Callithrix jacchus: one gene and its partners. The main gene of each other region encodes a partner of the protein of the gene in region 3 in a complex. Links are inferred from orthologs where the notes say so. Each region holds a gene or a part of one and is shown on either strand. Other genes may lie near its edges.

Region 1 (4,679 bases), on a different chromosome or scaffold from region 3:
AAAATTAGTTTATAATTTTCTTTTTTTGTGGGTAGTGAGAAATCATCTCCCCTATTGAGGAATACCAATATAGAAAAGGCAAAACTACATATGAATGAACTGTTTTATAATAACGTAAGTTCTTCTTGATTTCCATTGTCACATCCAAATTTGAAGGCTATTTCTAACACATCTGGTTTCTACCTTTTTCCTTCTCACCTTTTACCACACCCAATCTGTGAGGCTTCAGACAGAAACTGCTAATTCAGAGACAATTGTGCCTTCTGTAACAATTTCTGCTAAATTGTCACAGCTCTGCCAGTTAAAAAAGCTAGGTGATCTCAGCCTATCACCAAAACTCTTGGAGCTCAGGTTCTCTGTTTATAAAAGTTACATAAAACATAATTTATCTGCTTGTTATGACTGAAAAACATAGTACATTAGTCCTTTGTCAAAAGACTAATAAATTACCATATAAAAGTGTGGAATGGTGTTTAATATTATAAGAAATGCAACTGTCCAAAAATAATTCTCTCACATTGGTCTGCTAATAAGACCTGAAATATCTGTCATTTTATTTATCTCTTTGACTTAAAGCACCAGGTCTCAAGGAGGTCACTGTTAAACTATAAATTTGTCATATGAAATAATATATTAAATAATTGTTGTAATAGTCTATTGACGTACTAGCTGTAAGGAGGCACAATGGAAAACATATACTATTAACAGTAATACAAAGAAACAATAAAAAGCAATAAAAAACAAACCACTGATTCATGCAACAACATGAATGAACCTCACAAATATTATGCTGAGTAAAAGAGGTCACACAGATATGAAACAAAGTTCGTACTATGTGATTAGATTTTTATGAAATTTGAGAACATGCACATGAAAGGTACAAGGTAACTGTCTGGAGTGATGAAAATGTCCTGAATCTTCAAAATGGTGTGGGTTACACTAAAGAATGGCTTTTTCAAAGTGACTTAAAGGGACACAACATCTGAGCATTTCACTAGGTGTAAATTATACTGCAATTTAAAATAATTATCTAATGATATTGTGGTTATTTTTAAACAGTTTCTAAATTTTGTGGATGCATACTGAATGTTTACAGCTGAAAAGATATATACAAAGCTTGAATTTGGTGACAAAAAACAGGGAGTATTTGTACTGATAAAGTTAGTGGACATATGGATGAGACATGATCAGCCATGCATTGAAAAACATGTAAAAGTTGGGTGATATTCACATGGGAGTCCTTCATTGTGTCTACTTTCGTGTGTTTGAATATTTCCCATAACAAGAAGTTGAGAATAGATCGGTCACCTGAGTTCACCCCTTCATTTACAAAAAAGAAAACTGGAAACAGAAGAACATAACTTGTTCACGGTCTCAAAGCCAGACAGCATACTAGCTCCCAAATCCAACCTTTTTGCTGTGGTGGTAGGCAAACACACAATATTAATGTGAGCTACTGCATTATGGAAAGTCTGCTTTTCCAAAGGGCAGACCAAGAGTTCAAGGAAGTGCTTAAGTAATAAATATCTATAATCTTGCTTTCATGCTCTGCTATTTTCCACTGAACACATATGCATTATCTTCTATATGTCTTTTATGTATAATCATTTGCTTCCTGTTCCTTGTGGTTTTAAAGTTGTTTTTTATGTTTAAATTTGATTTTACTCAAATTTCAGAACCAAAATGAGCGCAAGAATCAAACAAAACATTACTTTCTATAAATATAAAAACAATTTTTGCAAAACCATACAGCAAAAACGAGTTGTTTCCCCCCCCCCCCCCCACCTTTTCCAGGGCTTAACTAATCTTCCGAATCCAGGCACAGAAAGCAAAGGCTTTCTGCTAGTGGGAGGAGCTTGCTTCTCCATTCTGGTGTGATCTAGGAACAGCTGTCTTCCTTCCAGCTCTGAAAGAGGTGAAAATGTGTTAAGCGATGCAAAAATTGTCTTGAAGTTCGCGTTTGTATGTCTGTGTGTTTGAGCGTGTTGGGGGTGAGGGAGACAAAAGGGGGTGTCAGTTCTGAGGGCAACGAGAATCAGAAGTCAGAAAGGTGAGTGGTGTGTAGCATTCTCCTTTCAGAAGGGGCTGAAGAAGAAATTGTATATGATGGTCGGGTAGTGGAGATCACGCTGGATTTGCCTCCTAGATAGACCACGCGCTTGGGTCTGCAAAGTAAGTCCCATTTCTAGAGCGAAAAGCCTTAGGACTGCTTGTTTTAGACGGCTGGGGAATATTTATTCCTTGTTCCACTGATGGGAAAATCAGCGTCTGGCAGGCGCTGATTGGTGGAAAGGAAAATGGTGATAGTGGGGTGGGAAGAGGATTTGCTGAGCCTCCTCCTGCGTCCTTAACCTGTAACTCTTCCTTAGTAGTCTCCGCTTCACCTGCGGGACCCTTTCGGGCTCGTCCTAGATTAAGAGCAAACGGAAATCTTGGGGATATTTGAACTAAAGCGACCTTTAACGTTATAGCGGACGACGGCGAGTAAATTTCAGCGATACGAGGGCAAAGTGCTCTCGGCTGTGCCGTGTGAGCAGCCTCCTGCGCTGCTGTTTCCTCCAGCAGCCCCCCAAGAAATAGGCTCTGCTCTAGGTGGTCGACCCTCAGGGCCCCGACTCTCCCAGGTCGACTCTGACGCGGTGCAGGGGATGGTCCCCAGGAGGACCTGGGGGGAAAGGCGGGGACAGGAAGAGAGGGGAATGGGAAAGACGGAGAGGCGTCAGCCCAACCCCAACCCCTCGCGAGCGCCAAAAGAGTGCCCGTGACCCTGAACTTGAGGTAAGGCGCGAAGGCACCCCCACTTTCCCGATTTGCGCGGTCAGGCAGGCGGCTGGAGTTGATAGTTCACCCTCCGCCCCCTGCCCCATCCCCATCCGAGAAAGGGAACGGAGCAGCGCACGCGGCAGGGAAACCGCGAGCGCCGAGAGAGGGCGGGGAGAGGCGCTGACAAATCAGCGCTGGGGGCGGAGAGGCGAGGAGAAGCTGGAGGAGGACCAGGCGGAGGACGACGGCGACGACCAGAAGGGGCCCGAGAGAGGGGGCGAGCGACCGAGCGCCGCGACGCGGGAGTGAGGTGCGTGCGGGCTGCAGCGCAGACCCCAGCCCGGCCCCGCGGAGAGCGTCCTGGGCGCGCCCTCCCGCCTTCCCTTCAAGCCTCCCTTTCTCTTCATCCTCGTGAGCGAGGGACTGGGCGTGGCCATTCGACGACAGGTTAGCGGATTTGCCTCCCACGCCCCCAGCCTAGCGTCGCCGAGTTGTGCTGACGGCGGCCTCCTCTGGGGACCGTCCCCCTCCCGGTGCCGCCTCCGCCTTTCCTATGCGCTCCTTTCCCTCCCTCTTCCCTATTCAATATTATTTGGGAATTGTTTAAAAATTTTTTAAGGGAGGTGGGGAGGAATCGGAGTTGTGGAGAAGCAGAGGGACTCTGGTAAGTACCTGTAGATCTAAACGTATGTCTTTGGAAATCCCGGAGAACGCCAGGTGGGAGAGAAGTGGTCGTGGGCGCCGGGAGGGGGTGGTGCTGCAGTGAGGATCCGCTGTGCCAGGTCTCTGGGCGATGAGTACTTGCCCTTTCGGGAGCCTAAGGAAAGAGACTGGACCTGGCTTTCCTCCTGCTTCCGATATTTGCTTCTCCTCAAAGGCTGAGAGGTCAGGCATTCCCCAGGATCCGCTTTTCCCCGGGAAACCCGAGGATGCTCCATGGAGCCTGAGCATCCAACTTTTATTTCTCTCTTACCCGAAATTCCTCTGCCCGCTCTCTCGGTTTTTCTCTGTAAAGTAAGCAAGCTGCATTTGGCAAATAATGAAATGAAAGTGCAGGGAGGCCAAGTCAACAGGTGGTAAAGGGTTAACAAGTGCAGGCTCGCGGTCCGCTGGGTGGAGGCTAAGAACGCCTCCTCAGGTGGCTGGTGCGGGCCTCCAGACCGCCGACCGCCGGCGGGTGTGAGCGGCGCCTGCTCTGGATAGATAGCTGAGGGCGGGCAGGGGTTGGGGGGTGGCCAATGTTCTTGTGGATTAGAACCAGCGCCCCTGGGCTCGCTGTTTGCCTGAGATTCAACCACACCCAGAGTGAGTAGTTAGTTCTCTTCCCCATGCTTCTCCGTCATCAACCCGGTAGCCTTATTCTGGGATTCACGTTAAGGATGCCCCTGACCTTAAGCTCCAGCTTCCAGGCTTCTAACTCATACTGTTACCCTTTAGACCCTGGGAAGTTGAAAAAGGGTGAATCTTTTCTTGCAACTCCACTTCTGAAATGCAGTAATAACAACTCAGAGGATTCATCTTAATACATGGTTAGGTGGCTAGACTTTTACTAGCCAAGATGGATGGGAGATGCTAAATTTTTAATGCCAGAGCTAAAAATGTCTGCTTTGTCCAATGGTTAAATGAGTGTACACTTAAAAGAGTCTCACACTTTGGAGGGTTTCTAATAATTTTTCAGTGTTTTTTTTTTTTCCTCAAAAAGTTCTCATTCAAAGTGTATTTTATGTTCTCCAGTGTGGTGTAAAGGAATTCATTAGCCATGGATGTATTCATGAAAGGACTTTCAAAGGCCAAGGAGGGAGTTGTGGCTGCTGCTGAGAAAACCAAACAGGGTGTGGCAGAAGCAGCAGGAAAGACAAAAGAGGGTGTTCTCTATGTAGGTAGGTAAACCTCAGATGTCACTTTGGTGTTTGCTC
Region 2 (4,440 bases), on a different chromosome or scaffold from region 3:
GATGTGAAATGGATGTGGTGTTTACCACTGGACAATCAATTAATTAACATTATTAATTCTAAATAAGTATGGGACCAAAGAAATTATCTTTGGTCCTCAAGAACAATTTTAAAAATCAAAATACTCTTGAAAGTATTGCGTCTTTTTAGTTAAAAAAAAAAAAGTCTGCAAACAGCTGCTGCACAAAGATGTAATAAGTCACGAATTATAAACCCTGCATTCAGTTCTCACCTTCCATCACCCACCTTGTACATATTTTTGCCCTCTGAAAATATACACTGGAGGGCAAGGGCATGAGAATATGCAGCCCCGGGAAAATGGGAAATCAGAATCCTTTCTATGTGTGACCTCAGGCAAATCAGTGTCTTTGGCTCAAAGTGAGGTGGTTTCTAGCACAGAGGTTAAGAAGGTGAGCCTGGGCCATGTGCAGTGGCTCACACCTGTAATCCCAGAACTCTGGGAGGCAGAGGCAGGAGGACTGGTTGAGCTCAGGAGTTTTAGACCAGAGTGGGCAACATGGCAAAACCTATTCTCTACAATATATACAAAAATTAGCCAGCATGGTGGCAGGGACCTGTAATCCCAGCTACTCAGGAAGTTGAGGAAGGAGAATCACTTGAACCCAGGAGGTGGAGGTTGCAGTGTGCTGTGATTATGCAACTGCACTCTAGCCAGGATGACAGAAAGAGACTGTCTCCCAAAAAAAAAAAGAAAAGAAAAAAGGTAAGCCTGGAGCCAGGCTTCGTGGCTCATGCCTATAATCCCAGCACTTTGGGAGGCTGAGAAGGACAGATTACTTGAGGTCAGGAGTTCAAGACCAGCCTGGCCAACATGGTAAAATCCTGTCTCTGCCAAAAACATAGAAGTTCGCTGGGCCTGGTGGCATGAGCCTGTAATCCCAGCAACTCAGGAGGCTGAGGCAGAAGAATCACTTGAACCTGGGAGATGGAGGGTGCAGTGAGCTGAGATTATGCCACTGTACTCCAACCTGAGCGACAGCAACTCCTCTCGCTCCAAGAAGTACTAACGGAGGCCGTGCTCAGTGGCTCACACCTGTAATGCCAGCACTTTGGGAGGCCGAGGTGGGTGGATCACTTGAGGTCAGGAGAGTTGCAAAACAGCCTGGCCAACACGGTGAAACCTGGTCTCTACTAAAAATACAAAATTTAGCCAGGCGTGGTGGCACATGCCTGTAATCCCAGCTACTCGGGAGGCTAAGGCAGGAGAATTGCTTGAACCAGGGAGGTGGAGGTTGCACTGAGTGGAGATAGCACCACTGCACTCCAGCCCAGGTGATGGACGTGAGACTCCGTCTTAAAAAGAAATATATAAATACCAGCTAAGTGGCCTTAAACAAATTATGCAATATCAATAAAGCCCTAGTTTCCTCATCTGTTTTGTTGTTGTTGTTGTTAAACAGTTCAGGGGCTGGAAAAAACAGTACCCACCTCTTGAGAATGGGTGAAGATGATATTAGACAACCCATATAAAAGGCCAAGGCCAGTGACTGTTATAATGAGTGGTCTATCAACTTTAGCTATTATTATTACTGCCCAACCCACAGGACTGTTGCTAGAATCAAATGAGATGTAAGAGTAAAGAAACATATAAATTATAAAATAAAAGCAGAACTAACTGTGGCCAGAAACAAAGTTAACCACCGCCCCCGCTCCCGCTCCCAAAATGATTCCCGCCATGGGGAGAAGCCTCCAATGTAACATCCACACGATGTCTATAAACACGAGGTCTACTTTTGTTAAAAACCGCTGACCTTGAAGCTTCCTCACCATTAAGTGAGACAGACCAAAACCATACAACCATCTAAGAGAAAAGGAAATGCAAAAAGGACCAATCCAATTACACAGTAGTATCTCGGTTATCGGAAAAGGGTTTCTCCCAAACTCAAATCTGTGATTTTTCACTACCAAGGAAACTGGATGACATCAAGGTCTTCAAGCCTGCGGACTGAGGTAAGAGCTGTGAAGAGGGATCTGCATAGCACGGGAAGGAAAACTGCAGAGAAAACCACAGAGAAGCTGCAGAAAGGAGAAGCCCTCCGGTAGTTCTGCATGCCCCTCTGACACGAGCTATCACAATCTCTTCACCGCTATTTTGGGCCCAAGACCCCCTTCCCTCGTCTCCCACATGTGCCCAGAGCAGCTGCTTCTCCACCAAACAGCTCTGGATTGGGAGCCTGGAATCTCGCGCCTGCTCCTGACTCGATCTGGGTGACCTTGCGTCCGCCCCTTCCCCACTCTGGACCTCGGTTTCTCCTGTACACCGAGGCCTACCTAGTCAGACAACCCTCTAGGCCCAATTCTCGTAAATAAAAAAATTTCTGTTAGGGAATCATTCCTCTGGCAGGAATCATTCCTTCCCACCCTTGTGCCGCAGCCGGCTTCCACCTTCGGGAAATCTCCGGTCTCCTCAGGAGCGGTGGTAATAATCCAGCCTGCGGGTAGCGCAGGTGTCTTCAGAACCACGCGTCCCAAGGGGCCTGCCAGGCAGGCCAGCTCTGGCGACTAGCAGCTGCCCAGACCGCGCCGCTACCACGTCAGGGCTGAGAAAGGCTGGGCCGGCGCCTACGCGAGGCCCGCGGCTGCGGCCTAGTGGCCCGCGCAGCCCGCCCCCTGCGCCTGCCCGGCCCACGCGCCGGCCCTCAGCACCCCTCCTGGGATTTCGCTCCAGCCTCGGCAGCCCTCAATGCGTCGGGCTGGCGACCCGACCGGTCCGAGGCACTCACCGTAAATGGGCCGGAGGCGCCTGTCGTTAGGGTCCTGCACATGGCCCCGCGTCGCCATGATGACAAGCGCAGAACTGCAGTGCGCACGCGCGGGGCAGGCCCCCGGGAAGGGGCTGTTAAAGGGCCAGAGTCGCTTTCGCTTGTCTATCGCGATAGTTGTGGAGCCGCGACTCAACGCGCTTGCGCGGAAATGGAAGCATCCACCATGCCAGATTGCCACTTTAAACACTGTTCTTTCACGTTGCAGGTAGTATCAAGCTGGCAAGAGGAGGCAGCTGTTGCTGTTAAAATCTCTTCCGAGTCACTGACTGGGAAGTGAGGAGAGGAGGGGAGAAAGCTCTCGGTCAAAATTAGGGTTCCGCTGCTCCTGTTTATTCTCTGTCCTGAAGAACCAGTTAGACTTGGCTGTGATTAATCGCAGAGGAACCAGGAACTCCTGGAGGAGAGAGAGACCCAAGGGAATGTTGGGGAAGGGGGTGCTGATCAACAGCAAAAATCTGCCAAAAAAGTTTGAGAGCCCTCCACCTGTTTTCGGACCAGACTGAGGGTCGGGCTGCTATTTCTTGTGGTCCAATAAGCAGATGCAGATGAACTGAAGAGAAAGAGAGTTTTTATTTCTGCAGCCAGTTACAGGGAGAAGGCCTGGAAATGATCACTAGACCAACTCAAAATTACAAAGCTTTCCAGAGCTTATATACCTTCGAAGCTATACGTCTACGTGTAAGGGTGCAATAATCTATAAGTGATTAATTTATTTTAATCTATAACTAAGCTCTGAGTCCTGAAGATCTTCCTCTGGAGCCTCAGTAAATTTTCTTAATTTATATGGATGTAGGTGCCCTTATCTTGTCTCCTGCTAAAAAATCACAGAAGTGTGGGGAGTTACTTCAGACCCCCGATAAAATTTGTTTAATCTGGCTGGGCACAGTGGCTCATGCCTGTAATCCCAGCACTTTGGGAGGCCGAGAAGGGCGGATCTTGAGGTTAGGAGATCAAGGCCATGCTAGACAACATGGTGAAACTCCATCTCTGCTAAAAAATACAAAAAATTAGCTGGGCGTGGTGGACCGCGCTTGTAATCCCAGCTACTTGGAAGGCTGTGGCAGAATGGCTTGAACCAAGGAGGCGGAGGTTGCAGTGAGCCAAGATTGTGCCACTGCACTCCAGCCTGGCGACAGAGTGAGACTCTGTATTAGAAAAAAACTAAACAAAACAAAAAAAAAACTTGCTCGATCCTAAATGGATCCTGTTAGGAATTCCTTCATTATTTTGCCATGCTTTAAGGCTAAGGAAAGGCCTTTGGTGGGCTTTTGTTATACATTCCAGCCTTTGTAGAAGAACACTGGCTTTTTTTAAACTTTTAATATTTAACCACTCAGTACAGAAAGTTGTTACACAGGCCTGTGATAGTGAGACCTGGCCTGTCACACACCCGTCTCCCAGGACTCAGCCAACAAAGAAGCATCCTAGATGAACACTTACTCAGTATATGGCTAGAGTACTTAAATACAAGGTCTTTAAATTTATCCTCTCATTTAATTTTCATAACTGTCATAGTATTTCCCTGGGAGGTTGATCCTATTACCTCTTGTTACAGTTAGATTTATTCATACAACACCAAGTTATTGAATGCCTACAATCTGTCTGTTCTAGGCACGGTGGAGACATCAATAAATAAAGCAGACGGAGACTTAATG
Region 3 (4,659 bases):
TTTCCTGGTACACGTGGCAGAGAAGCTCAGGTCTTATGATGGCCTCTCCAGGCCTTGCCCTTCTAACTCTGCTGTTATCCCCTCACCCTCCCACGCTCTCTCTGTTCCAGCCACGAGGCCCACCTCCTATTTGCAACAGGGGTGTCTTCGTTTACAGTCCCCTCTATCTGGAAGCTCCCCTGTTTTCATGTAACTCATTTCCTAACTTCCCCAGGTCTTTCTTCAACGGCACTCTCCCTCAACACCCAAACTAAAGCCGAGTCCCCCCTCACTTCCAACTTTCCTTCTCTGCTTGTATTTTCCTTTGTAACTGAAGTGAAGTTCCAAATGACTTCCCGTACAGTATTAGAGCAGTGATTTCCAAGGTGTGGGTCAGGATTTGGGGGTGTCCCCAACATTGTCTCAGGTGTTCTATGAAGTCTGAGCTATTTTATGATACACTAAGGTTTTTTTTTTTTTGAGAGGGAGTTTCACTCTTGTTACCCAGGCTGGAGTGCAATGGCGTGATCTCAGCTCACTGCAACCTCCGCCTCCTGGGTTCAGGCAATTCTCCTGCCTCAGCCTCCTGAGTAGCTGGGACTACAGGCACACGCCACCATGCCCAGCTAATTTTTTGTATTTGTAGTAGAGACGGAGTTTCACCATGTTGACCAGGATGGTCTCAATCTCTTGACCTCATGATCCACCCGCCTCGGCCTCCCAAAGTGCTGGGATTACAGGCGTCAGCCACCACGCCCGGTCCAATACACTAAGGTTTTTAGAGGGGAAAATGTACATTCTATAGACATGTTTTTATATCTTGTTCACTGATAACGCCTCTAGCACTGGCACACAGTAGGCACTCAAATATTTTTCCAAGAATAAAATATGTGTCAAATTAATTGCAATGTTCTGCATCCATGGATTCTTTCGATTCCAACTGCAGCATCTAATCTGAGTGATTCTTAGAGTTTTCTACCAAAATCAAAGAGGTAAGAAAATAGAAAAAATGGGGATGAGGTGTGGTGGCTCACAACTGCAATTCCAGCACTTTGGGAGGATAAGGTGAGAGAATCACTTGAGCCTGGGAGTTCCAGACCAGCTTGGGCAACAAAACAAGACCCTGTCTCTACAAAAAATTTAAAAAATTAGTGGATGTGGCAGCACGTGCCTGTAGTCCCAGCTACTCAGGTGGCTGAGGCAGGAGAACAGCCTGGGCCTGGGAGGTTGAGACTACAGAGAGCTATGATTGTGCCACTGCACTCCTTTTCTGGGTTACAGAGTGAGATCCTGTCTCAAAGAATAAAAGAAAATGAGTGTGACAGAAACCACTAGATTCACACTGATCCCAGCTGCCTGACCGCATGTCAAGTTTCCCCACTTTCACTCCCCGCTACTCTGGAATTTCCTTCTTCCTCACTTACCAATGTGTTATCCATCCTTCAGGGTTCACCCACTCTGAAATGTTCCCAGCTATCTCATCCCACAGTTCTTTCCACCTTCTTCACACCCAAATCGGAACCACTTGGTCTTTCGCTTCACATGGTGGGAGCTTATTTTTTAAAAATGGATGTAGGACTGATAGGCAGAGAGATAACCAGCATAACAAAATGTTAACTGCAGAATCCAGGAGAAGTGTCTATAGAAGCACACGGTGAAATTCCTCCAACTTTTCTTTTATTCTTTTTGAGACGGAGTCTCCCTCTGCCGCCAGGCTGGAGTGCAGTGGTAAGATAGCAACTCACTGCAACCTCCGCCTCCCGGCTTTAAGCGATTCTCCTGCCTCAGCCTCCCGAGTAGCTGGAACTACAGGCACGCGCCACCACGCCCAGCTAATTTTTTTCTGTTTTTTAGTAGAGACTGGGTTTCACCATGTTGGCCAGGATGGTCTCAATCTCTTGACCTCGTGATCCACCCGCCACGGCCTCCCAAAGTGCTGGGATTACAGGCGTGAGCCACCGCACCTGGCCTCCTCCAACCTCTCTAAACGTTCGAAAATCTTCATAATAAAATGTTTTCTTAAAAAAAAAAAAAAAATAGTACCTGCAAATCAGAGGTCTGGCCTTAACTCGAATCCAAAGAAACTGAATCCAGGGCTCTACGCACAGCGAGCCTTCCCTAGGATCTGCCCTGACACCTCATAGAGGAAAGGTGTCTACACCGGGGTGTGCAGCTACAGTAACTAAACCTGCAATCACCAGCCACGACTGAGACAGTATCGCTGCAGGGACACAGTGATCAGCGTTATTTCATTTATCTACAATTTAACCACGGCCACCAGGTGGGCTTCACGATGTACGCATCCCAGCAGCTGCTGACCCGTTTCCGACCCTCGCAAGCCCCCTCTGCGGCCGGGCCTTTGGCGATGCCCACTGCCCAGAAGAGGCGCGGCTCAGCCATCAGCCAGCAAGCAGCCGGGCGAGGAGCCCAGGTCCTAGGCTCGAGGCCGCGCCCCCGGCTCGCCCCATCGCCCCGGCGCGTCCTGACAGCGACCCTGAGCGGCGGCCCGAGGGCTGCCCCAGGACCCAGGAGCTTGCAGGGTCCAGAGACAAAGTTTGAATACTTTGCCAAGGTCGCCAAGGCCGACGCGCGTCGACCCCGGGTCCACCCGTTCCTGGACCCTGTGACCCTAGAGAGGCTCCCTTAACGGTCGGCGGGGGTGGTTCTCGCGGGTCTCCGCCCGGGTTTGGGGTCCAGCCGGGAGGGCGCGGCCGGGAAGCTGGGCCGGGCCAGGAGCGGCTGGCCCTAAGCGCGTCTCACTCACATGTTGTTGAAGCGGAACAGATCGTCGCAGGTGAAGGCCCGGAGCGTGGTCATCGCGCCGCTGCCGCCGCTTCCGAAACCATACGCCGAGACCCTGCGCCCGCCCACCGGAAGTCTCCAGGAGCGCGGCCGCGGCGGAACCCGGGGGCCGGGGTACTGCTTCCGGGTCACGAGTTGCTCTGCAATGACAGCAGCGAAGCAGCTTCCTCTGGCGGCCGGCGGCGGGAATTGCCAGCTAGCTCCCGTAAGGCCTCCGGGGCTCTGGCTGCTCAGAGCTTCGGAACCCCTCCCGGGAAGCGGCTGCAAAAAGCAGGCCTCGACGCTTGGCAAGGAAAAAAGCTGCTGGGGATGCAGAAACTCAAGCAGAGGAGCAGGATTCTGCAGAGTAAATGGGGAACGGGAGACCGCTTGTCCCAGGGATGCGAGTCGCAGATGTCATCTTAAAATGTCAATACCACGTTTAAATACAAAAAGAAGGCCGGGTGGGGTGGCTCACGCCTGTAATCCCAACACTGAGAGGCCGAGGGGGGCAGATCACTTGAAGTCAGGAGTTTGAGACCAGCCTGGCCAAACGGAAGGAAGGAGGGAAGGAAGGGAGGAAAGGAGGAAAGGAGGAAGGGAGGAAGGGAGGGAGGGAGGAAGGCGTGTGCCTGTACTTGGAGGCTGAGGCAGGAGAATCCCTTGAACCAGGAAGCGGAGGTTGCAGTGAGTGGAGATCTCACTACTCCACTCCAGCCTGGGTGAGGCTCCATCTCAAAAATAAAATAAATAAATGCAAAAAGCAGTGTAAAATTGATTTTGATAGTACACTTTATTTTTCCCTGACCTCACTTTATTGTACCTGAATATCATTTCAGCCTGGCCTCGAGGATTCTGGAGACAAATTCACTGGTAATCTCATAAGAGCATGCTTATGACATACTGCTTTTCACTTGCTGCTTTCAAGATTCTTTTCTCCTCTGTGACTTCTGAAACTGTGCAGGTAGTGTTTTACATCTCTTCTTGCTTATACTCTTGATGTGTTGAGCTTTTTTTATCTCTGTTCTTTCATTGGAGAAGTTTTCAGTAATTATTTTGTTTCATATGTTCAGTTTCTGAATCCATTTGTTATACTTTATATCTTTTTATTGGTATTGTCATTTTCCTGGTTTTACTTAGTTTTCTGTTTTTCTATTTTTATTCGTTGATCATTATTCAAATGATAATTTTATTTTTTTCAGTTAATTTCTGCATCTCCATTGTTTTAGGGTTGATTTCTGAACTTTTTTTGATGTCTTTAATTGTACCACATGACCCTAATACTTTGAACAGGTAATCTTTGATTGAGATTCAAGCATCAACAAAAAGCCTCCTGCCACAACTCTTTTAATGTGACTTTCTCCTGGGGTAATCAGAACCAAATTGGCCCAGATGCTAGAAGCCTCTTAAAGCCGGTTCCGAAGATGTGTCTCGTGTGGAATTGTGTGTGTATTTTTCAGTGAAAGACGGTTTCTCGGGTTTCTTCATAGTGGCCTCTGGTCACCTGATCCACATGTTGCTGGTGGTGCTGCTGCAGCCTTCCTGCTGTGGTCACCAGGATTTCCTTTTGGTCTCAGAGACCCAACCTGTCATTCAGAGGACCCCCATTTCTTTCAGCACTCCATGTCATCGGGGCAGAAACCAGACTTTGCCGTAGCTTCAAAAGGACAAACGTAAAAACACTTGTGTTAGTATTTTCTTTCTTTGTTGAAGGAGAAGCCAGGAGGTGCGGACTGACTCTCACAGGCATTCTGCTGTACTGCAGAGGAGCAGGGGCTGTGGGGGCAGGGTGAATATAATCAACTTTTTTTTCTTCTTCTGAGGTGGCTCGTAACATTGTGCTCACTTGGTGTGCTGCAAACTCTGAAGTGGTTCTTAGAGTTCAGATGCATTTTCTCA

The links.
Region 1: the proteins of NAA20 (region 3) and SNCA are in contact, whole or in part, in a cryo-EM structure (PDB 7STX), measured with the Homo sapiens proteins. The link is inferred for Callithrix jacchus from reciprocal best matches to the Homo sapiens genes NAA20 and SNCA. Residues at the interface, in NP_057184.1 of Homo sapiens: Leu23, Thr24, Glu25, Tyr27, His73, Val74, Thr75, Ala76, Leu77, Ser78, Leu110, Phe111, Tyr137, Tyr138, Ser139, Ala140; in NP_000336.1 of Homo sapiens: Met1, Asp2, Val3, Phe4.
Region 2: the proteins of NAA20 (region 3) and NAA25 are in contact, whole or in part, in a cryo-EM structure (PDB 7STX), measured with the Homo sapiens proteins. The link is inferred for Callithrix jacchus from reciprocal best matches to the Homo sapiens genes NAA20 and NAA25. Residues at the interface, in NP_057184.1 of Homo sapiens: Thr2, Thr3, Leu4, Arg5, Thr8, Cys9, Asp10, Leu12, Phe13, Phe15, Asn16, Asn19, Leu20, Pro22, Leu23, Thr26, Tyr27, Gly28, Ile29, Pro30, Leu33, Gln34, Leu36, Ala37, His38, Pro40, Glu41, Pro49, Glu52, Met54; in NP_079229.2 of Homo sapiens: Ser226, Glu227, Ile228, Asn259, Asp261, Asp262, Trp263, Gln264, Arg318, Arg321, Leu325, Lys362, Pro363, Cys364, Thr367, Asp368, Val371, Leu457, Thr459, Glu460, Leu461, Ser504, Ala506, Leu510, Leu532, Asp533, Lys535, His536, Ile537, Gln538.

What each region holds. Positions count from the first base shown.
Region 1 is NC_133504.1:107,737,242-107,741,920, forward strand, and holds the start of SNCA (alpha-synuclein), read left to right. Parts: upstream 1-1,858; 5' UTR 1,859-2,050; exon of another isoform or gene 2,051-2,172; intron 2,173-2,343; exon of another isoform or gene 2,344-2,778; intron 2,779-3,009; exon of another isoform or gene 3,010-3,427; intron 3,428-3,920; exon of another isoform or gene 3,921-4,068; intron 4,069-4,497; 5' UTR 4,498-4,522; coding exon 4,523-4,643; intron 4,644-4,679. UniProt on the Homo sapiens protein: Neuronal protein that plays several roles in synaptic activity such as regulation of synaptic vesicle trafficking and subsequent neurotransmitter release.
Region 2 is NC_133510.1:115,034,679-115,039,118, forward strand, and holds the start of NAA25 (N-alpha-acetyltransferase 25, NatB auxiliary subunit), read right to left. Parts: upstream 2,822-4,440; 5' UTR 2,802-2,821; coding exon 2,744-2,801; exon of another isoform or gene 2,382-2,743; intron 1-2,381. UniProt on the Homo sapiens protein: Non-catalytic subunit of the NatB complex which catalyzes acetylation of the N-terminal methionine residues of peptides beginning with Met-Asp, Met-Glu, Met-Asn and Met-Gln. May play a role in normal cell-cycle progression.
Region 3 is NC_133506.1:27,002,793-27,007,451, reverse strand, and holds the start of NAA20 (N-alpha-acetyltransferase 20), read right to left. Parts: upstream 2,852-4,659; 5' UTR 2,797-2,851; coding exon 2,744-2,796; intron 1-2,743. UniProt on the Homo sapiens protein: Catalytic subunit of the NatB complex which catalyzes acetylation of the N-terminal methionine residues of peptides beginning with Met-Asp, Met-Glu, Met-Asn and Met-Gln. Proteins with cell cycle functions are overrepresented in the pool of NatB substrates.